2 linked regions of the Arabidopsis thaliana genome follow. The protein of the gene in region 1 interacts with the protein of each later gene in a pairwise test. Each region holds a gene or a part of one and is shown in the gene's direction. Other genes may lie near its edges.

What was found. Proteins that work in one complex are often made in the same cells at the same time.
Region 2: the proteins of WAVH1 (region 1) and BSK2 interact in a two-hybrid assay, tested with the Arabidopsis thaliana proteins (one large-scale study listed by BioGRID).

What each region holds. Positions count from the first base shown.
Region 1 is NC_003071.7:9,643,213-9,646,968, forward strand, and holds the start of WAVH1 (Zinc finger (C3HC4-type RING finger) family protein), read left to right. Parts: upstream 1-2,057; 5' UTR 2,058-2,220; coding exon 2,221-3,756. UniProt on the Arabidopsis thaliana protein: E3 ubiquitin-protein ligase involved in the regulation of root growth. Acts as a positive regulator of root gravitropism. Possesses E3 protein ligase activity in vitro.
Region 2 is NC_003076.8:18,892,429-18,896,184, forward strand, and holds the start of BSK2 (BR-signaling kinase 2), read left to right. Parts: upstream 1-1,949; 5' UTR 1,950-2,258; coding exon 2,259-2,334; intron 2,335-2,563; coding exon 2,564-2,781; intron 2,782-3,139; coding exon 3,140-3,275; intron 3,276-3,371; coding exon 3,372-3,611; intron 3,612-3,696; coding exon 3,697-3,756. UniProt on the Arabidopsis thaliana protein: Probable serine/threonine kinase that acts as a positive regulator of brassinosteroid (BR) signaling downstream of the receptor kinase BRI1. Mediates signal transduction from BRI1 by functioning as substrate of BRI1.

The sequences.
Region 1 (3,756 bases):
AAGAAATGTTATTATAATAATAATAATAATATATTGAAATATCAAAATTTTGTGTGTAAATTTATTTAATTATTTGAAAATTTCAAAAATTTCCAAAACAATACGAGTAGCTTTGCTTAAATATATCTAAAAATACACAAAATAACTAAAATATCCAAAAAAATCCTAATATTTTCTATATATAAGTATAAATATAACTAATATATACTTATATTTGAGATATGTTCGAATTTTTTGGATTTTAAAGTTTAGAACCGTTCGGGTATTTTAAAAGTTTGGTTTCGAGTTTGGATCGGATTTTTCGGATCGGGTTTTTTGGATCGGGTTCGGGTATTATGCACTGGCCTAGATAAAAGAAAGAAACCATTCATCACCTATAACATTTTTACTGCATCCACCGTTATTATCAGTATACGAACATTACCTCAGTTTCAGCATTATAGCTTAGCAATAAATAGCTGAAGAAATGTAGTTGGTATTATTGTTATAGCTTAGCTAGTGGTGGCAACATGTTTATTTTCTATTCACCAGGTGATGATGGCTTATCGGATCAAGTCTTGATTCGAACATTAAATGTTTTACATGGATCGATATATAAACAAGTTAAAATTGGCTCACATCCATAGATCGATCCCATAATCTATGCGTTTATACATTCACTGCACTGTATTAATTTAACCCAATCATATTTGCTCATCTACTACATTAAATTCTGTCAAAGTTTCAATAGTGTGTTACACAATAACGGTCAAACAACAAATGATTCTCCAATAACAACTATTTAGACAGTCAAAAATTTTAGCGTGAGACTAGACGGATCGATAGGGCATAATAGCATATATGTATAGCCCATACATTAATAACTAGACATTATTACAAAAATTTCGGTGCTAAACAAGTTTTTTTTTAATGGACCCTTTTATTAGATTACTTTAAATAAACCGATGTTAAAAATCTTGTTTACAAAAGTAATAAAATGCGGTTGGATATGAACATTTCGTGCTAAATAATCTGTTTTAACATTTTAACTTCAAAAAAATAAAAATAAATATAAAAATCAAACACATCCTTGTCTTCATGAATCGCCTCTAAATACGTAGCAAAGATTGGTCACTTTGTTGGAAAAGACACCACTTTTATCAAGTCTGAGGAATCTGTAAAGAACGTTACTTCTTGTTTGTCTTGACCAATCATACATCTTATTGTTCATACGAGTGAACGAGTGCTTCCACTTATGTAAATAGACATGTGAGACTTCTTCGTAGGTTGACATCACCTATAGTTGGATATTTTCTTGTTGGTAAGTTTTTAGATAGCCAAAATACTATTAAACATTCATAAGCAAGTGAAAATATTTATTTGAACGATTTAACTAAAATGTTGTTATGTATTTATACAAACATATATATTTTTTTATACATATACATGTTATTTTACTAAATAACGTTTTTGTCCAAAGTTTTTTTTACTGAATAACGTGTAATCAAATAAAATAATAAAAGAACAAGGGATCTCTTCTTGATAAAATATTTTGATTTCATATAAAAGTAGGTGATATCTATAAAATAAATTTACAAAATGTTTTAGTTTGTGAATGAACTTCAGAGTAAAATTGTAAAGTTAAAAGTAATTTTACAAATTTAAATAATTAGTTTAGTTATTTAGCAGATACATATAGTCAGTCTGCTATCATAGCATTTAGGTTGAAGCCTTTAAGTTTATCTTGTTCAATTTTTTATATAATATATATATATATATTTTTAATCTAGGTGGTAAACAAGCTTTATCACTTAAAAGGTTAAAATGAGTGGGGCAATAATAGATGTAGCTCATAAGTTCTATGTTGAAAAAGATTAATACCAAAAATCAATCATTTTCTTATAATCAACCATGGAGTAGAAAAGCAATTACACAAATAGAGTAACTTCTAAAATATTTACAGCTTTTTAGGTAGTCAATTACTATTAGTACTATTTCTTAATTCTCTCAATAAAATAAAATAATAAAAAATCATATAGATAATCCCAATATCCCCAATCTTCCACTATAATTGAACAAAAAAGACTCCTTTTTAAATTCAACCTCTCCCACCTTCTCTCTGCAACTCTCTCATTTTCTTAAAATCTCTTTCTCACAGAACCAAAAACCAAAATCTCAGTCTCAAACAAACAACAACAACACACGAGTCACGAGGTTGAAGAAGAAGAAGAAGAAGCAAATATGTTAAACGGCTGGAGAAGAGCTTTTTGCACTTCCATTCCCAAAGAAACTAACCAAAACGACGTCGACGACGACGGACTCGTTGGTCTCCGCCACAAATCAACCTCTCGATTCGGCTTTTTCTCAACTCCTTCTACGCCTCGTTCTGATTCCGGCACCGGAACTTACAGCCTCCGTTGCAGGACTTCAACAGCCACCGCCGTCTCCACTACTTCATCTCTTCCCGGAACTCCAAAGCTTAAGTGCAAAACCACCACCACCGGAGAAACAACTCCCAGAAACAGAAGCCTTGTCTCTCTTTTAACACCTTCTTCTTCTTCTATTTCTCCGGCGAGCTTCACTCTCCTCAAATCCAAACTCCGATTCAAGCAGAGTAGCAGTAACAAATGTGGAATCTGTTTACAGAGTGTGAAATCAGGTCAAGGTACGGCGATTTTCACGGCGGAGTGTTCTCACACGTTTCATTTTCCTTGCGTAACCTCACGCGCCGCCGCGAATCATAACCGTCTTGCTTCTTGTCCGGTTTGCGGATCCTCGCTTTTGCCTGAGATTCGAAATTACGCTAAACCGGAATCTCAAATCAAACCGGAAATTAAAAACAAGTCGTTGAGAGTTTACAACGATGACGAAGCTTTGATTTCATCTCCGATATCTCCCGCCGGATTTCACACAATACTTGAATCAGATGAGAACGAAGACTGCGAGGAGTTTACAGGATTTTCCGTTAATACTCCGTCACCTTTAACGGCGAAATTGTTAACGGATCGAAACGTGGACGTTAAGCTCTCTCCGGAATCGGCTATCGTTGCGTCGGGTAAAGGCTACGAGACTTACTCCGTCGTCATGAAGGTGAAATCGCCACCGTTTCCGACGGCGCGTGGATTTGCGCGTAGAGTGCCGGTGGATTTGGTTGCTGTTTTAGACGTAAGCGGGAGAAATTCCGGTGGGAAATTGGAGATGTTGAAACAAACGATGAGGATTGTGCTTTCGAATCTCCGGGAGATGGATCGTTTATCGATTATTGCGTTTTCGTCCAGCTCGAAACGGTTATCGCCGTTACGGAGGATGACGGCGAACGGGAGGAGATCGGCGCGAAGAATCGTAGATATCATCACCGTTCCTGGTTCTGTCTCCGGCGTCGGAATTGATTTCTCCGGTGAAGGGATGAGTGTGAACGACGCGTTGAAGAAAGCGGTTAAGGTGTTAGACGATCGCCGGCAGAAAAACCCTTTCACCGCCGTGTTCGTTTTAACGGACCGTCAAGCCCATCAAGTGGCCCAATTAGCCCATTCGAGAATCCCTATACACACCATATGGCTTAGCCACGCGATTCCCGAAGACGCGTTTGCGAGGACCATCAACGGTTATTTGAGTTTGTCGGTTCAGGATCTCGGTTTACAGCTCGGGATAGTTTCCGGGTTGGGTCAAGGAGAGATAACTTCTGTTTACTCTCTTTCCGGTCGACCCGCTTGGCTTGGAACCGGTTCAATCCGGTTAGGTGATATGTATGCGGAGGAAGAAAGAGCGTTGCTGGTT
Region 2 (3,756 bases), on another chromosome or scaffold:
ATGTCTTCATTACCAAAGCTGATATTTCTTTGGACGTGAGAAATAAAAGATCGCCGACATTTCTACTGAACACGCTTCTTGCAGATCTTATTCAGTACCGGTAAATTCTGTTGTGTAGTTCTCTAGAGAATAGTAATTTTCTTGACCATGCATCTAATGAGAATAAGGAGTTTAGGTTAATACTAATATCATTGTGTATATACTTGTCTCTTCTATTGGGGAAGCAGGTGAGACCTTACATTTTAGATCTTGGCAGCACCAACAAGGCCTACATTAGTGAGAGTGTTGAATTGCATCTCTTCTTAATTGTTTTGTTTTCGTGGTTTAGATAAAACGTACGTTAGTAGTGACCTTTGTTTTTCTTTTTTCAGAAAATACATATTGAACCACAACGCTACTATGAACTTTTTGAGAAACAGGATTATAATTAAGATAAAAGAATTAAAAAAGTGTGAAGGAATTAAAATTTTAATTTCAATGAAAATAAGGGGCCAAGTTGAAATATATAGAATATACAAAAAAGAAATTGTACAACTATTTTCCTTTTGTATGAAAATAAATTAGTTTTTTCTTTTAGCAAAAAATTAGTTCATGTATTTGCATTGCATCAACTAAAATAGTTATATTAAAAAAAGGATTTTTGTGTAGCTGTGATATTTGGAATAGAAAATCCAGAATAATAATATCGAAAATTGTTTGCTTTATCCCCCTTTCTTTTGTAGAAATTCTCATATGATTAGTGGATGATTCGGTCCAAGTACTATCATTTAAGGATCTGTGTAGTATTAAAATCTCGAAATCTCTATTCGTTATTAACTTTGTCGGTGAAGGGGTTGATATATAATAAACCGAAGACTTTTTGTGTGAAAAGAATCATGTAATAACGGTACTTATTCATTTTGTACTTATACTAAAATAAATACCGATTATGTTGGTGGTAGACTTCTAAATTTTAATTAGCTTTTTAAAAAGACCCTTAATTTTTAATAAAATTGATGGAAAGAGGAATAGTTACTTTCTATCTTCGGTAAAATTCAGGACCCAAGAAGGTCGAGGCACGTGCCCCATGATAGACTTGTCATGTGATGTGACCTATTTTCTTTGTCCAACAATTTTTTAAAACAAATTGTCATAGGCTAGAAGTCGTCAAAAGTTAATAAGCAAAAAACGCAATATTTCAAAAATAAAAAATTTAACAAGAATGAATGACACAAACCTAATCGTCTTGACATTTTATCTCATATATCAATAATGCTCAATCGAGTGTAAATACTTTTTTTACATAGTAAAAGGCGAATAAGAGAGCAGATCATGTAGCAATTATTTTCACTATTATTGTTATTGTGTTGTTGACTTTGATTTTTAGTTTTTAATAGCAGGGTACAAATTTGTACCTTCAATTATGTCACCAACGAGTGTTTGAGATAAGATTAGACAATAGTAAACACAAAATTGATGTAAGCTATTTAACATGTTTATTGAACTGTAAATAATTATATCTGTTTTAATATATTTTTTAACTATTTTTTTTCTTAATTGATATTTTATTGTATTAACACTCCTTCTTATTAACTTTGCAAAATAAACTGTCATCTTGTAAATTATTACCAAATCTTAACACTATTATTATTGACTTTAGAATCTAAGATATACCTAAATAATTTCTTAAGGCCAAAAAAAAAATTATCATCTTTTTATTTAAGTTAATCTAAGATATAAACATTAAGAGAAAGTTGCAAAATTAAAGAAAAAATATCTATCTTTACCTGGATACAAAACTTATACTTTTGGATAATTCATATGAAAGTCTCTCTTCTAATGTAGTAAAAACTTCTACATTTCACAGCTAAAAACTGAAACCCAAATTTAAAATTTCGTGTATAGTACCGAGGAAAAAAAGTATTTGCAAGCAAAATCTAGAGCAGAAAAATTTAAAGATCTTTTGCTTCACATGACTCTATTGTTTTTTTCTTACCTCTATTTTTTCAAGTCTGCAGCTTTTTGAAGCTATATTTTTCAGATCTTTCACTCTCTCTCTAGCTACTTCTTTTTGTCTTTAAGTTTTCAAATTTTATTAAATTTTTATATTCTACTGCCTCCTCAGCTTCTCTCACAAAGCACAAATCCAAGCCCCAAATCAAATCCCACCATTGTTTTATTACCTCAATCCAAGAACACTAGACACAACAAAAATCTCTGTTTCTTATCCAAATTTCTGATCTTTGTGGAGAACAATATTTTGATTGGATGTGAGACAAATGGGTTGTTTACATTCCAAAACTGCTAATCTTCCTTCTTCTGATGATCCATCAGCTCCAAACAAACCAGAATCAGGTAATAATACTAATCTCTTAGATTCTAAAAAACTCACATTTTGTTTGCTCACTTAGTAAATCTGCAGTTTTTCGTCTGTTCTTGTTATGGGTTTGCTTTAATTTGTGGGGTTAGGGTTTGTGAAAGGCTTAAAGCAGAGAAAAAGTTATAAAGTCTCTTCCTTTTTGGAATTAAACTCTTGTTTAGATTGATTTGCCTTTTCGGGGTATGTTTTGTTATGTGGTTACAGTAAATGGGGACCAAGTGGATCAGGAAATCCAAAATTTCAAAGAATTTGAACTAAATGAGTTGAGGAAAGCTACCAATGGGTTTAGTCCTAGCTGCATTGTCTCTGAAGGTGGAGAGAAAGCTCCTAATGTCGTTTACAGAGGGAAGCTTGAAGGGAATCATCTTGTAGCTATCAAGCGATTCTCTAGGCAATCTTGGCCTGATGCTCAACAGTTTGTGGTAAGATATCTGAGAAAAGGTCAATGCATGATTTGTTGTTCATTGATTCATTGTCTGATTTTAGACCCTGGGTGATTCTGTTGGACTATCTCTTAGGCAAACCGCATCAATGACTAGTCCAAGGAATGGTGATTTAGGTGTAGTTTTTAGTTACAGAAGAAGAACAAGGCATCATTTTTCGATAAAAGAATAAGCGTCCCTGAGTTTGGTTACCACTGAATTGTAGAAAAGTCGATAACTTCGGGTTTAAAGCTGCTTTTAAATCTTAGGATACGACTAATGTCTTGACTGTATATCTTGACTGCTTTTAAATAGGAGCTTTGTCCTGGTGTTGACCTTGTTTGACTTGTGAAATCAGGTGGAAGCGACTGGTGTTGGGAAGCTTAGAAACAAGAGAATAGTTAGTTTGATCGGTTGCTGTGCTGAAGGAGATGAGAGGTTGTTGGTGGCAGAGTATATGCCCAATGATACTCTCTCAAAGCATCTCTTCCACTGTAATAGTCTTATCTTTCTCTCGTTATAAGCTTGGTTTAAAGTCTTCTTTAGATGATTTACTCTCTTCTTTCTGTGTTTGTTTGCATTGTTTGCAGGGGAAAAGCAGCCACTTCCATGGGATATGCGTGTTCGAATCGCAGACTATATTGCAGAAGCACTTGATTACTGCAATATTGAGAACCGAAAAATCTATCATGACCTCAATGCATACAGAATCCTCTTCGACGAGGAAGGTGATCCTCGTCTATCTACTTTTGGTCTTATGAAGAACAGTAGAGATGGCAAAAGCTATAGCACAAACTTAGCTTATACTCCACCTGAGTTTTTACGGACAGGTAAAATTCTTGATCTTGTGAATCGTAGTCGAAGACAAACCAATTCATTATTGAAGATTAAAGTTCTCTGGTTTTTCTTTTGCAGGTAGAGTCATTCCTGAAAGTGTGATATTCAGTTATGGAACTATTCTTTTAGATCTTTTAA